Arabidopsis thaliana: one gene and its partners. The protein of the gene in region 1 interacts with the protein of each later gene in a pairwise test. Each region holds a gene or a part of one and is shown in the gene's direction. Other genes may lie near its edges. The genes, in order: CIB1, AT3G06590, IBH1 and CRY1.

What was found.
Region 2: the proteins of CIB1 (region 1) and AT3G06590 interact in binary tests that used the Arabidopsis thaliana proteins (3 or more experiments, as listed by UniProt).
Region 3: the proteins of CIB1 (region 1) and IBH1 interact in binary tests that used the Arabidopsis thaliana proteins (3 or more experiments, as listed by UniProt).
Region 4: the proteins of CIB1 (region 1) and CRY1 interact in a two-hybrid assay, tested with the Arabidopsis thaliana proteins (one study listed by BioGRID).

Annotation. Positions count from the first base shown.
Region 1 is NC_003075.7:16,496,804-16,500,690, forward strand, and holds CIB1 (cryptochrome-interacting basic-helix-loop-helix 1), read left to right. Parts: upstream 1-1,587; 5' UTR 1,588-1,662; coding exon 1,663-1,965; intron 1,966-2,068; coding exon 2,069-2,329; intron 2,330-2,416; coding exon 2,417-2,551; intron 2,552-2,644; coding exon 2,645-2,716; intron 2,717-2,810; coding exon 2,811-2,981; intron 2,982-3,077; coding exon 3,078-3,143; 3' UTR 3,144-3,371; downstream 3,372-3,887. Other genes in the region: AT4G34540 (NmrA-like negative transcriptional regulator family protein), read left to right, coding at 3,703-3,879. UniProt on the Arabidopsis thaliana protein: Transcription factor that binds DNA to G box 5'-CACGTG-3' and, to a lower extent, to E-box 5'-CANNTG-3' in vitro. Binds to chromatin DNA of the FT gene and promotes its expression, and thus triggers flowering in response to blue light.
Region 2 is NC_003074.8:2,052,213-2,057,435, reverse strand, and holds AT3G06590 (basic helix-loop-helix (bHLH) DNA-binding superfamily protein), read left to right. Parts: upstream 1-1,769; 5' UTR 1,770-2,123; coding exon 2,124-2,789; 3' UTR 2,790-2,793; exon of another isoform or gene 2,794-3,747; 3' UTR 3,748-4,357; exon of another isoform or gene 4,358-4,436; 3' UTR 4,437-4,689; downstream 4,690-5,223. UniProt on the Arabidopsis thaliana protein: bHLH transcription factor that binds DNA on specific sequence 5'-CANNTG-3' in target gene promoters. Negatively regulates brassinosteroid signaling.
Region 3 is NC_003071.7:17,907,017-17,910,754, forward strand, and holds IBH1 (ILI1 binding bHLH 1), read left to right. Parts: upstream 1-1,990; 5' UTR 1,991-2,230; coding exon 2,231-2,701; 3' UTR 2,702-3,194; downstream 3,195-3,738.
Region 4 is NC_003075.7:5,721,717-5,727,805, forward strand, and holds CRY1 (cryptochrome 1), read left to right. Parts: upstream 1-1,934; 5' UTR 1,935-2,543; coding exon 2,544-2,877; intron 2,878-3,044; coding exon 3,045-3,263; intron 3,264-3,346; coding exon 3,347-4,835; intron 4,836-5,185; coding exon 5,186-5,189; 3' UTR 5,190-5,552; downstream 5,553-6,089.

The DNA of each region.
Region 1 (3,887 bases):
TTTATACGTCTAATTCCCATGCATATATCGAGAATAACCCATCATATAGGAATTAGGCTCCCATCATGTGATCATGATTCATGAGTCATGACCATTGGATCTCCCCTCATTATTGTTCCATCAGAAATTTCTACGTCGATGATATGTTTCTAATTCTAATTTTTTTTACAGCAATTTCTAATTCTAATTAAGAACTCTCCCATATACAAATTGATATAGATATCTTTTAGTAAGTTAGTAACAACACTTAATTAAACATAGATAAATATACGTGCACAGATCAATTCTCCAGTTTAAGGAAAGAAATTGGATAGATGTATTTAAATACTTTTGTATAAATAATATAACTATCTCCAATACAACACACCGAATCAAATGTCAACATCTACATACATGTCGACATGAATTTATGAACATATATGTACAAGGTGATGGGGAACCCACAAATTAGGTGTGTGGCTTTACTTTTTTTAGTGTATGCATGTATAGTATGATAGGGAGGGAAATAGCTGATCATCATCTTCTATGGACTTAGTCCAAATTCATCACATCAAAAGGCAACGACCATGTCTTTGTTTCTAACAACTTTACACCCTCCCCTTTCCTTATCTACTAACTCCATGTATCTGCTTTAAAGGTTAATATATAACTGGACTAAGCAAAATAAAAGAGAGTTGGGTTTTCATTATAGAATCGAGAAGATTTCATGTCCCTATATCAATCACATAAAGCGTTTTCCAATAACATAAAAAGTCGGATAAATGAAAATATTTGAGAATCTAAAACAATGTCATATATACTTTAATGGAAGGTCCTTTTCTTCGAAATATTTGCTCACCGAAATCGGTGAAAGTGATCTAAGACTAAAACTAACTTGTGAGTAATTCATGTGATGGGCCTTCTGCATCGAAAAAGAGCATGGCGATCACGTGGCAGCCTCTCTTGCGCCGTCTCAGTATTAGCCTATCACGATAGAGTAAGCCAATGTATACAGCATGGCGATCAGACACATGATGATGATCGATCTGAATAACAAGATTCCGAAGGATGTAATAAATTCATGTGAACAGTGCTTCGTAGCTAAACTAAGACCAGAGCTATTGAAATGAGGTAAAGTGTTTTCTTTGTAACCCCATTTTAATTAGGTGAAATATCTAGCGCACACACCAATCTGATTCATATAATCATAACTAGCTTGTAAACTACAAAATTATTTTTCATTGTGTTACAACTAGACCATTCCCACGTGACCATTCACGTGCTCCTATAATGAAAGAAACCTAAAGAAGAGACGCTCCAATTCGCATAGACATCCCAAGCTTATCCTTTCTTAGTGAATCAAGATCCAATTTACACTATAATACATGCATATATTACGTAATAAATGTTTTATAAGTTTTCTGTGTCACTCACTATTTTTAGTTATTTTCTCAATTTTCAATCATCGCAAATATCAATTATCACAAAACATATAAAGTTTCCAGATTTGTATATGGGCCTACCTTATTAGATGCGATGAATATGGACTAAGTACAGAGCTGATGGTTTTTGTTATAAATATCGTTTCCTCTTCTACCCTCACCTTTACTCTGTTTCTTTCTCCACTCTCTCTCTCTCTCGTTGCAAGCAACTTGTTTTCTGAATCCAAAGAAGACGATAACGATGAATGGAGCTATAGGAGGTGACCTTTTGCTCAATTTTCCTGACATGTCGGTCCTAGAGCGCCAAAGGGCTCACCTCAAGTACCTCAATCCCACCTTTGATTCTCCTCTCGCCGGCTTCTTTGCCGATTCTTCAATGATTACCGGCGGCGAGATGGACAGCTATCTTTCGACTGCCGGTTTGAATCTTCCGATGATGTACGGTGAGACGACGGTGGAAGGTGATTCAAGACTCTCAATTTCGCCGGAAACGACGCTTGGGACTGGAAATTTCAAGAAACGGAAGTTTGATACAGAGACTAAGGTTCGTGTGTAAAGAAAACTTAAGTTTAAGTTCTATAAATGAAAAAGAAAACAGATCTTACTTTGAGATTTGGCTTATCTGTTTCTTCTGTGTGTGCTTTTAGGATTGTAATGAGAAGAAGAAGAAGATGACGATGAACAGAGATGACCTAGTAGAAGAAGGAGAAGAAGAGAAGTCGAAAATAACAGAGCAAAACAATGGGAGCACAAAAAGCATCAAGAAGATGAAACACAAAGCCAAGAAAGAAGAGAACAATTTCTCTAATGATTCATCTAAAGTGACGAAGGAATTGGAGAAAACGGATTATATTCATGTTCGTGCACGACGAGGCCAAGCCACTGATAGTCACAGCATAGCAGAACGAGTAAGAGAGCCTCATTAACTAAAATTCATTAACTTTGTTTTTTGTGTAATCATTGAGACTAATTATTAAAGTATTAAATTTGTGAAGGTTAGAAGAGAAAAGATCAGTGAGAGAATGAAGTTTCTACAAGATTTGGTTCCTGGATGCGACAAGATCACAGGCAAAGCAGGGATGCTTGATGAAATCATTAACTATGTTCAGTCTCTTCAGAGACAAATCGAGGTCTGAAAATTATTTCCATTTATAGAAAATATGTTTTAAAGACTAATTTTGCATTACCTTCCTAATTTGTTATCAAAATATTGTTTAAAACAGTTCTTATCGATGAAACTAGCAATTGTGAATCCAAGGCCGGATTTTGATATGGATGACATTTTTGCCAAAGAGGTTAGTCATTGATTTGTTTATGCTTATATGAAAAACAAAACTTTAAAGGCTATTTATAGATGAGCTAAAATACGCCATGTGGATTCAAAACCAGGTTGCCTCAACTCCAATGACTGTGGTGCCATCTCCTGAAATGGTTCTTTCCGGTTATTCTCATGAGATGGTTCACTCTGGTTATTCTAGTGAGATGGTTAACTCCGGTTACCTTCATGTCAATCCAATGCAGCAAGTGAATACCAGTTCTGATCCATTGTCATGCTTCAACGTAAGTCATATTTTTAATACTCTTTCATTATGATCTATCCTTTAGTTTAACTTTGGATATGATAATTTTTTACTAAATATGTTTTGATTGTTACAGAATGGCGAAGCTCCTTCGATGTGGGACTCTCATGTGCAGAATCTCTATGGCAATTTAGGAGTTTGATTAAGAAACCAATCCACAACATAACAATGTTCCCTAATTCAAATTATTCATCGGAAGAGAGAGCAAACCAGTAGCTGTTATTTACTAATTCCACTAGATTATTGACTTGAGATCCCCCGCCCATTAGTTGATGTATCAAAGAGTGTAGACATTATTGTGTATAATTTGCAAACCAGTCCAGTAATATATTTCTTATCGGTGGACTTGTGTCTTTAATTCAAGGTGTGTTCTCATCTTCTTGTGGTGAATGATCATCCATTAGTATTTTTTTTTTTAGTATACAATGCCACAAGTCATGCGACCATGAAATCAAGAAACAAGACACCAGTCGTTTAACGTTATGTTTTACATCTTATCACTAACAATCTTCTAATCTATGTTTTGGTTACTTTGAAAAAGCGGGACTAATCCCAAATTTAAAGCAATTGAATAAACAACACCTGTTAAGCGTGGCGGACAAAACGACGACAATGTAAGAGAACTGAGTCAGAGATTAAAACCTATGACCAACCCATTGGAACTAAACTATCCTAATTCTCTATACGGAGAGTATATATAAATGGAGGAGGAGAAGAAGAAGAGCAGAGTTTTGATCATCGGAGCAACAGGAAGATTAGGGAACTATTTGACCCGTTTCAGCATCGAATCGGGTCACCCGACTTTCGCTCTCATCAGAAACACCACTCTCTCCGATAAGCTGAAATCTCTCTCCGACGCCGGCGTTACCCTCCTCAAAGTCTCTCT
Region 2 (5,223 bases), on another chromosome or scaffold:
TAGTTAGTTTTCCTTTCCTTATCAACTTTTTTCATTAATATAATAAGAAAAAACTCATTACATCCGAGATACATAATGATTTGCAAATAAATTTGAAAACCTTAGATAGCTGGAATTATGATTTACAGTAGTAAATTTTCATAGTAACAAATTTGAACTTCCAATCCGAAATATATTTATTTCTATTAATGGAAGATAACAATTACAGCCAGCAACCTTTGTGATACATGTTTTTTTTGTTGTTGTTGTTGAAGTAGAGCCCATGAGAATTACGCAAATCGCAGATTCGAATAGTGGTTTCTTTGACTCAGTTCGTAAAACAGATAATTCATTAGGTTGCTTTGTTCTTCACCAACAAATTTTCTGCTTGATTCTAAAGTATAAATTGAGAAAATTTAAGTATCTAAATCGAAAATATATTCTTAAATTCGAAGTAGATAAACTATTTTATTGTAAGTGACACTTTAGTGAATAATTGGATATGTTGTTTCTTATCATTAATTTGTCATGTGGAATCATTCTAGCTTATAACTTTCTAAGGTACAGAGAATATGCCACGTTACTGACACAATTATTAACCCTTAGCCCTTAGGTTAAATGAATACTATTATCTATGAAGCATTGCGCATTGCGCTCTGTTTCTAACATCCTTTCCACCCGCCTAAAAACATCTTAATACAGTATATATACCATTGTGGTACTTTTATGTCTAACATAAACTAAGATAGGTATTTTCCATTTTAACTGCTGATCAAACTCAACATAGTGAACAGTACAAACAAAAATCAAACTAACAGTAACTTTTCTAGAAAATTAGTTTGAACGTAGCTAGCTTTATTTATATATGAATTAACCCAATGGAGAAGTTCAGAAGCTCCTTTTTTCAGCAGGATATATGAATAAAATGACGCCACTCCCTTATACTTTACCCAACAATCTATTAATCTTATATCTACTTATACATATACACAAAATTTAATGAAATTTTATTCATACATATTGATAGATACACATACAAAACTTTTTTTTGATAAAATACAGGAGTTAATTTCAGTGATCTTTTCTTTACAGGGAAAGAAAAAAAAGCCGTAAAGAGAGGCAGTGCCACTAACCCTACATCGCACATGCATTTCGTTTGGTATATTACTTTATGCGTAAAGTAGTATTTTAAATACAATTCCAATATTTACGAAATCATTGCACTGAATACAAAATCCAAAGTTTTGAGTTTTTGGCCCCTCTCTTTTTGCCCTGTCAGTCCATTAAACGACCACTATAAGTCGTAAATGGATTTCTCCAATAGTAATATGACACGTCATCCTTTCGTTTGAATCTACCTTCCTCCTCCATTCCACCAAAGTATCGGCCTTTATACAAGTTTGTTTGTTTTCTCTTTTCGTAAACATCTTTAGATATCAATAAGCTAATTTAGTAATTAAGATTGTACCCTAAATTGATTGGAAACTATCGTTATGGATGCTCTACCCACATTAGGATCTTTGTAGCATTTCTATTATGTATTTTACTCTCTATTTAGATTATGTCTACAAAAGATCGAAAACTCGTGATTGTAAGAAATTTTGTATATAAATTTCTTTCTAAAATCTCTGTCAAGAGGGTAAGTTTAAAAAAATAATTGTGAACTAATCAACGTGGAACAAAACTTTTTAAGTATAATCATAATTCATAAACATTGCTTCAAGTCACAATGATGTCTCTGTCTCTCATTATTCCAAAACCATTAGAGGTTATAGAGCCAGTTAATTATAACTTATCAATTCCACTAGTGTTGAGAATGAAATTATTTGTTTCTTGGTGGTATTCACGAATTCTCTTTATCATGCATTACAAATGCCACTTTCGTATCTGGCTAAAACAACAAATACTAAAAAACAAATTGACAAAACGACGCCGCTTATTAACTGCTACATCTAAAACGGGGCCGTTTGTTAACTGCTACGTCTCGTGATAGTTGATACCTCTCTCCCTTTATATATCTTCCTCTTCTTCTCCCTTCCATTATTCTCCACAATTTCATAACTTTCTTCCGCTCAACTTCAGATAAATTCGGATTCTGTAGCTCTTTCAATACGACTGCGGAGATCAGAGCCAATTATTTGGTTATGGCGTCTCTGATCTCAGATATTGAACCGCCGACGAGTACTACTTCAGATCTCGTTCGGAGAAAGAAGAGATCCTCTGCTTCATCCGCCGCATCGTCTCGTTCAAGCGCATCTTCCGTCTCCGGTGAGATTCACGCGCGATGGCGATCGGAGAAGCAACAACGGATCTACTCAGCCAAACTGTTCCAAGCGCTCCAACAAGTCCGCCTCAACTCTTCCGCCTCAACATCATCATCTCCAACGGCTCAGAAACGAGGAAAGGCCGTCCGTGAAGCCGCCGATCGAGCTCTTGCCGTTTCCGCTCGGGGAAGAACACTCTGGAGCAGAGCGATCTTAGCTAATCGGATCAAACTGAAATTTCGTAAACAGAGACGTCCTCGAGCTACGATGGCGATTCCGGCCATGACTACGGTGGTTAGTAGCAGCAGCAACAGATCGAGAAAACGGAGAGTGTCGGTGTTGAGATTGAATAAGAAGAGTATACCGGATGTTAACCGGAAAGTACGTGTTCTAGGCCGGTTAGTTCCCGGTTGCGGTAAACAATCCGTACCGGTGATTCTAGAAGAAGCAACTGATTATATTCAGGCTCTGGAGATGCAAGTGAGAGCCATGAACTCTTTAGTTCAGCTTCTCTCCTCCTACGGCTCAGCTCCTCCACCGATTTGATGAGGTTAAAATCGTCTTTTTAATTCTACCATCTCTCGATCTTTCACAGCTTATGTGTATATAGAAGATTCGGTTTGATTATAATCTGTAACTACTCTTCCCAACCGCTGATTCTTCTCTGCTACAAGTAAAAGTAAATTTTGAACCGAGTCTTCCCATTTTTACGATCCTCAAGTCTAAATTAAGTATATGATTGATTAATAAAGTCTTTACCATTAGGGTTCAAATCGTAGTTGGATTATTTGATTTAGATTGATGAATTCGTTGTTGATCAAAAAAAAAATAAGATTGATGAATTCGTTATTGGAGTTAGTGGGAAAATGGGTTCCTCTTTTAACCTCATAGTATGTGATAACTAAACCAATATGGAACTTTTGATGTACTTTTAGTTCATTCAATATGGCTTTGTACTATATCATCTTATGTACTATATGAAATTTCAACATGAAATAGATTTGTACTGCAATAAAGTGGAAAGAAAATAATTTCCCATTTAGAATTTTAAAATACATTATAGTAGATGTAGGAAGATAATGGGTTAACTTTAGTTTTGATTATGGTAGCATGTGATGATGCATTAGAGAATGAATGGAATGATACATTCAAATTCATTGAATTGAATGATGACTGATGAGATTGATCTGTCACTCAATCATCTACTCGCTTTATTGCCCCTCCTTTGAATCCCATTTTTGATACTTATAGGTTGTTTGTCTTCTTTTTCTTTTCTTTTCCTTATTTCACAAGAAATATAAAGGAAAAAAAGAAGAAAAAAGATTAAATTAGCTAATAATTCCCTGTTACTAAATAAGTTTTCTCAAACACTAATCTGCAGTTCTGCACGTACTGTATATCCTTCAATATTCATCACGAAGCAAAACTGAATAACCTGTAGTTAAAATTGACTTAACAGGAGTTTGATTCATTAGCTTAATTAATATACGAATTTCTGTGATAGGGATATGATTTAAGAACACTGGAGTATGACTAGGCGACAACAAGAGACAAGTGACGACAAAAGCAAAAAATATTTAAAACATAGAGAGAAGTGACCTTAAAAGTATGAGGAGGCACATGGGAGTGGCCATGCCTTTGTCCTCTTGTTTCTTTTTAAGCCTTCTCTTATTAACTTGCACGACAACTCTTTTCATCACATATTTCATAAGTTATATTATTATTGCCAAAAGGGACAAACTATTAGAGAAAATAAACCGCAACATTGTAGAAGATTGGATTAAAACTCGCCAACACACTATTAGAGAAACTTGCCCAGATAAAATTATGTCCATGTCGAACACAGTTATAACCAAGGAGCCTAATTCCCAAAAAATGATTTTTATATTTGGAAACCATCCATTGCAGATACTCCTGGAGGTTTCTCCTAGTCTTCAGTGCCGAAGATTTCACGACAAAAGAAGACTTGAAAATCTCGATACTCTTTTGCGGAACTTTCCCACCGCGACACAAAGAGATCACTCCACAGAGATATGAGGCAGCTTTGAGTCCTTTAGACGCGGCTTTTGCAAACATTCGATCCCTTTCTCTTCATCAACAATATTACTGAATAGGTAAAAGCACTTCACAATTCCTTCACGAGCCACTGCTTCCGTGTTTCCGCTCTCTCTGCATCTCTTGAGAAAACTCTAGCTTTAGTTATAGGTCATCGTTTGCGGTTTTGATTTCGTCGAGGCAGACGTGTTCGAGAACTTGAGGGTCGTTGCAGAGATTATGTAATGATTTGCATACGAGGCTGAAGTTGAACAAGCTTGAGTGAAGAAAGAGCCACGCGTGGCAAGATCTCCTTCACAACCACTTCTTCTGGGAGAGACTCCATTTTATAGTGATTTGAGAAATGATATTTTAATTTAGGGTTTCAACTTAGACGTTTGCTTATTAAATTGTGTGAATAAATAAATATATATATATATATATATATATATATATATATATATATCATTAATAAATAAATAAACGATAAGAGTAACCTTAAAAATCTAGTTGAACCCTAAACCCTATGGCTAATATATACAATGTAATATATTATTCCTCTAATCATCTTTTAGAAATTTTTTATTATTTTTAATTTACACATAAATCAATATCTTTTTCAGATATAGTTTTATCTACATTGTATGTAATACCTCCATGTTGCTACACGTTAACACTTGCATATTTGTTACTCAATCTAATTAAGCAGGAATTAAAAACAACGGTTAACCGGAAAACTTTTACTATTTATCCATTCAGTATTATCTTATAGCTCAAATTACTTTTAGTTTTTACATATAGGATATAACTCTCACACACGTAAAATACGATTAAATTTAAATTCAAACTAGGACACTTATCTAATCTAGTGTTATCTGAATTCATAGAGTGTTAGAAGAATTAGGAAACGTTTTTTAATCAATAACATCATTTTTGGGAATAATAT
Region 3 (3,738 bases), on another chromosome or scaffold:
TACTAAATGACCAATAGCATTTATTCTTTTGTTTTTGTTTTACATTTTTAGTTGGGATATTTTAATCAACTAGTATGATAAAGTTTATTCGCCCCCAACGACTTATTATTAAATTAAGAAGAGAATCAAAGAAAACGAATGGTGTAGTTAATATTAATTGAATAATTAGAACAAAAAAAAATTAAAGATAAAGATAAGAGAGAAAGGAAAGTGGAGGTGGGTAAAGGCCATAGCCATGTGCCTTCATGTGGTGGTTGGCCCATTAGTGGACCTACTCTACCACTTCTTCAACTCTTTTTTAGTTCTTATTATATGATTAACACCTTCTTATTCATTTGGTTTCACTCCTAATATCAACAATTTTGTAAATTGTTATTGACCCGAAATTGTTAATCTTTAAACGTATTTTTATGATAGATGTGAAATTTGAAACCTTAGAGAAAACAGTGAGATTTAAGGGATTTTGGAGCTGAATCTTGAAAAAAGATAAATATGATCATGATGATGTTATACAAAAGAATTAAATGGCGTGAAAAATACGTCCGGCGGCAAAGCGGTAGGGGAGAGAGTGATTAACACAAAAGAGATGGGACTAATGCTAAATTATAGCCTTAACCAAACACTTATCGTATTCCTCAAGTCTCTCTTCTCTTCTTTTATATTTTCATGTGTTGTCTTTTCTAAATTGGTTAGTAATATTTGGTGTATATAAATTGTAACGTCATCTATTGGTCAAGCCAATTGAATAATCTCATATTTTGTTGTTGCTCTCTTGCATGGTGAATACTTTGTTATATATCTGATCAATTTTAAACACGTTTTATCTTGATGATGCGAGTGGCTAATTGATTAAGTTTATTAACACTTTATATCGTCGAAATAATCATAGTTATTCTCAGGTTCAATGGTGTTACTTTCTAAACTAACGTATAGTTCAAACTCAGTTTCGAATAAACATCCTCAATCAGTCGTTTCACGAGAGTTGGATTTTGGCTGAATTTTGTTTGTGGAAGTAAATATCGAGCAAGTAATGAATCAATTAAATTGATATTTTGGGTTTTGTTATTTCTTTTGCCTTGAAAATGAGCTTATATGTTTTCCACAATCGATCATATTCCATCTTAATCGTCATTAGTTGTCAACTAATGTTAACATAAATACATACATATATGTATATAGCTTACCTAATTTTATCATAATAGTCTCTATTAGCTGTTCACGTTAATGAATTCATACGCATTCGTCACTAAATTAACCTTTTATAAAAACAAACAAATAAACATAATAGTGTGGTTGGAATCTAATTCCATAATCTGATGTCTGCTCTAAATTGCTCTTTTTTCCGTTAATACCAAGCTATGAACCAAACGAGCTTGATTAATTTGCGTCTAGTACTTAAACATCATCCGAATTATTATTTTGTTTTAGCTAAGATGTATACGAGCATTAATGCTATATATATTGTATTTGGGTGTAGTATACATTAATATTTCAAATTTCAAAATAGTCAAATATATATACCCAAAATAGCCAAGTTCTGTTAATCTATTGGCATCAACTTTTTTCTTCAAGCTCCAAAACATCGTTTTCCACTAATTGCCCATTTATTTATTCAAGACTTTATAACACTAGGTGTAAATTATACTTTTCCGAAATACATGGGTTATACAATTCACATTTCATTTTAAAATTCTAACACATAATGATATATTTACACATCTAAGTAGCCACCAGTAAGCAATCGATGTCAAACCACTAAACCATAACAGACGAATCTACAAAAAATTTGAACTAATATTAGTAAACCCCCAAAGTTAAACATAGAACTGTATTTATTTGCTGTTCACCATTGAAGAAAACTGCCACTTATAACTTCATATTCTCATATTTTTACGCAACGTAACTTTGACGGACCAATTAAGCTCCAAAATTCAATATTTCAAAGCTATTAACACATCTTTTTTTTTTTAGAACATGAGTTATAAATAGTTGAACCTATAGTTTAAATTTAAACTTTATAGAGAATTTGAATAGTTGTGTGTCTTGTGACATAAAAAAACATAAAGAAAAGTTAAGTACAAGGAAAAATAAACATTATTTATTCCTCTCTATCTCTCTCTCTCTCTCCACCTTTCCATTTATATTAACCCTAATATTGTGTCATTCTCAAAAAAAAAAAAGTTTTATAAAGGTTCTCAACTCAAGTTCTCTTCTCTAAAAAACCCAAACAATGGCCTCTGCAGACAAACTCATAAACACAGATGTCCCTGAAAAGGACGTTTTTGCCTTCCACTTCCTCCAATCCCTCTCAAATCTCAGAAAACAAAACCCTTTTGATACTCCGGACCAAAAAAACTACCGCGTGAGGAAGATCAAGAAGGCTGCGTACGTTTCCATGGCCAGAGCAGCCGGAGGGAGTAGCCGGCTATGGAGCAGAGCCCTCTTGCGTAGAGCAGACAAAGATGACAACAAGATCGTAAGATTTTCAAGGAGGAAGTGGAAGATATCATCAAAACGGAGGAGGAGTAACCAGAGAGCTCCGGTGGTGGAGGAGGCGGCGGAGAGGCTGAGGAATCTTGTTCCGGGAGGCGGAGGAATGGAGACGTCAAAGCTGATGGAAGAGACGGCTCATTACATCAAGTGCCTTAGTATGCAGGTCAAGGTCATGCAGTGTCTCGTTGATGGCTTATCTCCCAAATGATCATCAATTAATCATCAACATCATCATCAATGATCGATGTATATAGAGATACGACACATACATAGTCTATTGGATTGGGGTAATCATAACGAATATATATGTGTATATATATATATATATATATATATATATTCTTATATATATACATACGTGTAAGATAGGATACATATATGAAATGTGTGGATATGTATTAGTCTCGAAGTAACGAAAGATTTTTTTCTTTTTCTTTTCTTGAATTTTGATAAAAGGGGATTTATTATTTATCATATGCTATGGCCGGTTTAAACATTAGGGCTTGGTAACTTGCCCTTGTCATATGATAAAAGGGGATTTATTACTTATCATATGCTAAGAGAATTTTCTTTCTTCTTTTCTTTTAAGCTATGCAATTTACTTGGTTCCTCTTGATTGTGTTATTCGTCAATGATGTTTCTATGGATGGATTATATATATAAAGTTATAACATATTAGTTATAAGAAAATTATAGCGGAATTATAACTATCATAAAATATACATTCTGTATTTATATATCTCCTATACATATACGACTGTTTATGTTTTTGAGAAAATATATGATAAATCTAATAATTTTAAAAATATATATTTATAGAATTATGAATCATTTAATTAAATGATTTTTTTTTGTTTAACACGGAGTTACTTGAATAAGTCTTAAAAATACTTGACATTATATAGGTTAAAGAATTTTGTAGAATATATATAATTTAACTCCTTTTTTGTTTTGTATAACTCTTTTTTCAGGTAAGAGAGATTTTTTTTTTTGTATAACTCTAACATTTCATGATTTATGTCGGATTGAATTCAAATGGTCGCTCACAACAACATTATTAACAAAAATTACAAGACTCTGATTACTTGTTTTCTTTATAATCACATTTTCCGTTGGAAGGATTATCTACACGTCTTATTTATGCAGTTGGTCATACTTATATTTCATACGAGTGTCCTACTTTAATTTGTCAATTATTATACACGTGTACGTAAACAGACAAATTGGTCAATTCCACATATTTCA
Region 4 (6,089 bases), about 11 Mb from region 1:
AATAAAGCAGAAGTTTTCTAATTTATTATATCCATATATAACTTTACTGTCATTATGGTACTCTTCTATGTTAGATTGTATATATTATAATGAATCAATTACGGATTTGCCATTCTCTTAATTGTATTTATGAATTTTTCCTTTTTGAATAGTTTGTAAATTTTGCCCTTTTTGAGGTTACAAAAATGTGATTTAAGATGCGTTTTACTCGTTATATTTAGGTTTAGTCTTTGGTATAAGTATGTATTTTAAAAAAACGTAACGAGGTACATTTTTAAGTGTTAAAAATAATAAATCCGTAAGATTTTAGGAAAAATATCATTTTCACAAGATTTTTATAAAAAAGGCAAAATCAATAATAATCTCTATTATTTTTTGTACATACATATAATAAAATAATAAGCTCTTTCTAGCTATATTATGAATACTCCTACGAGCAATAAAATAATAAAAGGCACGTTATTTACACTCGAAAACAAGCTAATTTAGAGGTGGTCGAGAGCAGATATCATGATTGTTTTTTTTAATGTATGTAATCCGTTCATTTGTGTCATCATTATTCATTTTTATATTATTTATCCGCTTTGTTAAATATATTTTGTCTGATGTGAATTAATTGTTGAGCGGTAAACCAATCATGAAGTTATCTTTAAATTAATGTGTTATTGATAAAAAAAAAAGTAAATTAGTTGTAAATTTTTTTTTTCGTCAATTTGTTGTATACTTAATCTGATGAATATTTATGATTTTCAGAAATGTATGTTTGTATCTTCTAATTTTTACCCACAAAATTCAATGTCCTACGCATATGATGGAATTTAACCAAATACAAGTAGCTAGTTAGTGATTCTGATTTGTTATTTTTTTTTATGTAGGTCTAAGTTATAAATCAATTTTCTTCGAACCTAAAATATATTTTTAACCAGCTCTCAGTATCATGTTTAAAGCTATTAAAAAATTTAAGTAGACGATTCGACAACTACGCTCACCCTAAAAAAATAATCAGATGAAAAAAATCTAAATCTAAACTATCAAACATATTAAAAACAATTATGAAGACTATTCGACAACTACGCTCACTATAAAAATTAATCAGAAGAGAAAAATGTAGATCTAAACTATCAAACATATATGTGATGGAATTAAAATTGGGTAAAGCCGTAAAAGAGGTTTCATAATTTTGGATTAGTGATTTGGTAACTTAAATTGACTTGTCAAGGGAGTCTTAACTCTATCATGAATCAAGATAAACACTCTCCACACCAAAAACAATATATATATATATATATATATAGATAACATAAAAAGTCCTAAAATATGTTAAAAGGCAAGGAGGGCCAACCATATCCATCTCTCGCCCACTTTTGCTAATATGTCACTCTCTCTCATATCCTAACCTTCCAATAACATTTCAGAACCATCCTCGGTACATCATTTATATGATTTCTCTATTATCCTTAATAATCAACTTTAAAAAAATAAAAGAATAAAATTAAGATATCATTTGTTTTACCAGATAAACCGATCCGATTCAAACTAAACCATATTGATATTTATAATCCAAAAACCTCAAATCCAAAACTATACCAAATCATTTATTATATCATTTTATTTTATCTGAATATACCATTTTTCATAACACAGAAATTTTAAAAACCTAAACGAAAATCGAAACGAATCAGAACCGAAATCCGAATTGAACCATTTGATAATTAACCAATAATCGTCCCACTAAAATCCAAGTGTATAAAAAATCAGTTTAATATTTATATGTAGAATATGTTCTAGAGAATTATAGTATAAGATTCTACATTTTTTTTTTTTTTTTGAACAAAGAAAAAAGGAGAAATTTTAGGGAAAGGAGTAGAAATCTTGTGAGTCACAGTTGATTTGGTTCAACTGGATTGGGATAATATTTCAAGTGGAAAGAAATAAATAAAAGTTGTGGTGGAAAATTATTCCAATAAATCTCGTCGTGTGAATTGAATCATTATTCCTAGTGTCAATCTTCTTCACCTCTCTCTATCAACCTCCAATTTCTTCTTCTTCTTTTTTTTTAGATAACTTATTTTTATTTTATTTTTCTTTGATTTTTCACTTTAAGACAAAAATAATAATTTTATATTTCTACCAAAAATAAATAATAATTATAATTTAATAAGAGATAAATATTTTTTCAAACTGTAACCTAAACAATAAATAAATTAAAAGAGAAATTAATGCAAATATTGCTATATTTTTGGGTTATTACTTAGAGACTACTTTGTCCAAAATTAGGAAAAATCTTTTTGGGTGAATAATTCCCAAAAGTATAGTTGCATTTTGCCAGAGAGGCACTCAGAGAGAGAGAGAGATATTCGTAAAGATAAGCTTTTTTTTTTTTTTTGCCTTCTCATCAAAAATCTTTTTTTTTTTGTTGTCTTTCTTCTCGAGAGAGATAAGTGACCAAAGGGTTTCGATTTCTGGAAATAGTTTGAATAAAAAAGTAATTTTTATGTGATTATTGGCAAAGAAAAGTTTTAGTTTTTTTTAGTTTGTGAGAGATGTCTGGTTCTGTATCTGGTTGTGGTTCTGGTGGTTGTAGTATTGTATGGTTTAGAAGAGATCTTAGGGTTGAAGATAATCCAGCTTTAGCAGCAGCAGTAAGAGCTGGTCCAGTGATTGCTCTGTTTGTTTGGGCACCAGAAGAAGAAGGACACTATCATCCAGGTAGGGTTTCTAGGTGGTGGCTCAAGAACAGTTTGGCTCAGCTTGATTCTTCTCTTAGAAGTCTTGGTACTTGTCTTATCACCAAGAGATCTACTGATAGTGTTGCTTCTCTTCTTGATGTTGTTAAATCCACTGGTGCTTCTCAGATCTTCTTCAACCATTTGTATGGTCTGTTGTTCCTCTTCTCTTCTCTCTTTATCTTATCTTTGAATTTGCATGATAAAAAGATTTGATTTTTGTGATTGGAATCATCTTTTCTCTTATGGGTTATGTTTTGTTTGATGTATTTGTGGAATAAGATGATCTGGAAATGATAAAGTTTTGATCTTTTTCAGATCCATTGTCTTTGGTGCGTGATCACCGAGCTAAAGATGTTTTGACGGCGCAAGGCATAGCGGTTCGATCATTCAACGCAGACTTGCTTTATGAGCCATGGGAAGTGACTGATGAATTAGGCCGTCCTTTCTCTATGTTTGCTGCGTTTTGGGAGAGATGTCTTAGTATGCCTTATGACCCTGAGTCTCCTCTTCTTCCACCTAAGAAGATCATTTCAGGTTTGTTTCTTTGCCACTCTCTCTTGTGGGTTTTCGTTTTTTCCAAATCTGTATCATTCAATAATGTTTCTTTTATGTTGCAGGGGATGTGTCTAAATGTGTTGCGGATCCATTGGTGTTTGAGGATGACTCTGAGAAAGGAAGCAATGCACTTCTGGCTCGTGCTTGGTCTCCTGGATGGAGTAATGGTGATAAAGCTCTCACAACGTTTATAAACGGTCCATTGCTTGAATACTCTAAGAACCGCAGAAAAGCCGATAGTGCTACAACCTCGTTTCTTTCTCCACACTTGCATTTTGGGGAAGTGAGTGTGAGAAAAGTTTTTCATCTTGTTCGGATCAAACAGGTCGCGTGGGCAAACGAAGGAAACGAGGCCGGGGAAGAAAGCGTGAATCTTTTCCTGAAATCTATTGGTCTCAGGGAGTATTCTAGGTACATAAGTTTTAACCATCCATATTCCCATGAAAGACCACTTCTTGGCCATCTAAAGTTCTTCCCTTGGGCTGTGGATGAGAACTATTTCAAGGCATGGAGGCAAGGCCGGACTGGATATCCGTTGGTCGATGCCGGGATGAGAGAGTTATGGGCTACTGGTTGGTTGCATGATCGCATAAGAGTAGTTGTTTCAAGCTTCTTTGTTAAAGTGCTTCAATTACCATGGAGATGGGGGATGAAGTATTTCTGGGACACACTTCTTGATGCGGATTTAGAAAGCGATGCTCTTGGTTGGCAATACATTACCGGTACTCTCCCGGATAGCCGGGAGTTTGATCGCATAGATAACCCTCAGTTTGAAGGGTACAAGTTTGATCCAAATGGTGAATACGTAAGGCGATGGCTTCCTGAACTCTCTAGACTCCCGACAGACTGGATACATCATCCGTGGAACGCACCTGAGTCCGTTCTTCAAGCTGCTGGTATCGAGCTTGGATCAAACTATCCTCTACCAATTGTAGGATTAGACGAAGCAAAAGCACGGCTTCATGAAGCGCTTTCACAGATGTGGCAACTAGAAGCTGCTTCAAGAGCTGCAATAGAGAACGGATCCGAAGAAGGACTTGGAGATTCTGCTGAGGTAGAGGAAGCTCCTATAGAGTTCCCAAGGGACATTACAATGGAAGAGACTGAACCAACCAGACTCAACCCAAACAGGAGATATGAGGATCAGATGGTTCCAAGCATTACTTCTTCTTTGATCAGACCTGAAGAAGACGAAGAGTCGTCTCTTAATTTGAGAAATTCAGTAGGAGATAGCAGAGCAGAGGTTCCAAGGAACATGGTTAACACCAACCAAGCTCAGCAGCGGAGAGCAGAACCGGCTTCAAACCAAGTCACTGCTATGATTCCAGAATTTAATATCAGAATTGTTGCAGAGAGCACTGAAGACTCAACAGCGGAATCTTCCAGCAGCGGAAGGAGAGAAAGAAGCGGAGGCATAGTCCCCGAGTGGTCTCCAGGGTACTCAGAGCAGTTCCCTAGTGAAGAAAATGGTATTGGAGGAGGAAGTACAACGTCTAGCTACTTGCAGAATCACCATGAAATACTGAACTGGAGACGGCTTTCACAAACCGGGTATGTAACTCGCAAATCCGACTCTCTCAACAATAAGTTCACATAAAGATTCTAAACATTTTCAAATTGAAAGTCTCCAAATTTTCAGTAAGTTTCAATCTTCCTACACAATTCAAATAAATCGTCGATGCGCGTTGTGCTTGGCACACTTGTCTAGCCAAGTAGTATCAGTTTTAAATTGAATTTAGCTGAAAAGTTTTGAACTGTTTTCAAATCCAAGTGTTTGCATTTACAGTAGACCACAGTAAAAAAATTAGTGAAAGTTTCTATGTTTCACAGTTCAATTGGAATTTGGTACATTGGTCTAACCAAGTGGCATGAAATTTACTGTGGTATGTTTGGTTTTACAGGTAAAAAGTGCATTTGGAGGTGCAAAAGGAGAGGAACATCATAAGGGCTGTAACTCCGGTGAAATCTGGTTGGACTGTAAACCGAGTACATTTGGTACGGTTTAATGTAATTCCGGTTATGGGGCTGGAGAGAAACTATGTAGGAGTTTGTCTGATGTACATTTTTTATTTATCTCTGGTTCCATCATGTTATAATACACTGTATAGTAAGTAGTCTGTTGCTTGTGGTATTAGACCAGGTCTCATACTTGTTGGCTTTCAAAGTTTTGGTTATAAGTCAAACAGATGCCAATTCTTAATCTTATAAACATATATAGTTCACATTTATTTATGATAAATGACTTGTTAGTGTATATGAAACACGTACGTCTACTTCCATATAACGAGAATCCGAATAGGTATGTATACTGATAGTAGCCTTCGACGTCACGAGCTTCCCACAAAATCTCGTGCTGATTAGAAACTAGACAAGACCACGATCTCAGTTATAATCTCTGCTGGGCCTAATTCGCGTCTGAAAAAACGTGTCTCACGAAACTGTGAATAACTTAATGAGCTTAAATCCAAAACAACTTCTATAAAATGGAAAACGACGATGAAAGACTTCGAAATAACTCTACCAAATTTCGTTACCTTTGACAACGATTTGATATGTTGAAACTGTTTCTTCCCCAATCCTAACGATTTTGATCCTTCTCCTTCTCTCTCTTTTTCTCTTTTACAGAACGAAAAATGACTAACCAAAGCTCTAATTCGAGTTTCCTTCTTTTATAGGTACACTCTAGGGTTTCCATTAACCCAACCGATTAAACCGGGTGATTTAAACACAAACCATAACCGATTTTCCGGTTTACGGGCTTTACACAAGAACTATTCCTTAATGATCTCTTATGATCCATCCCAA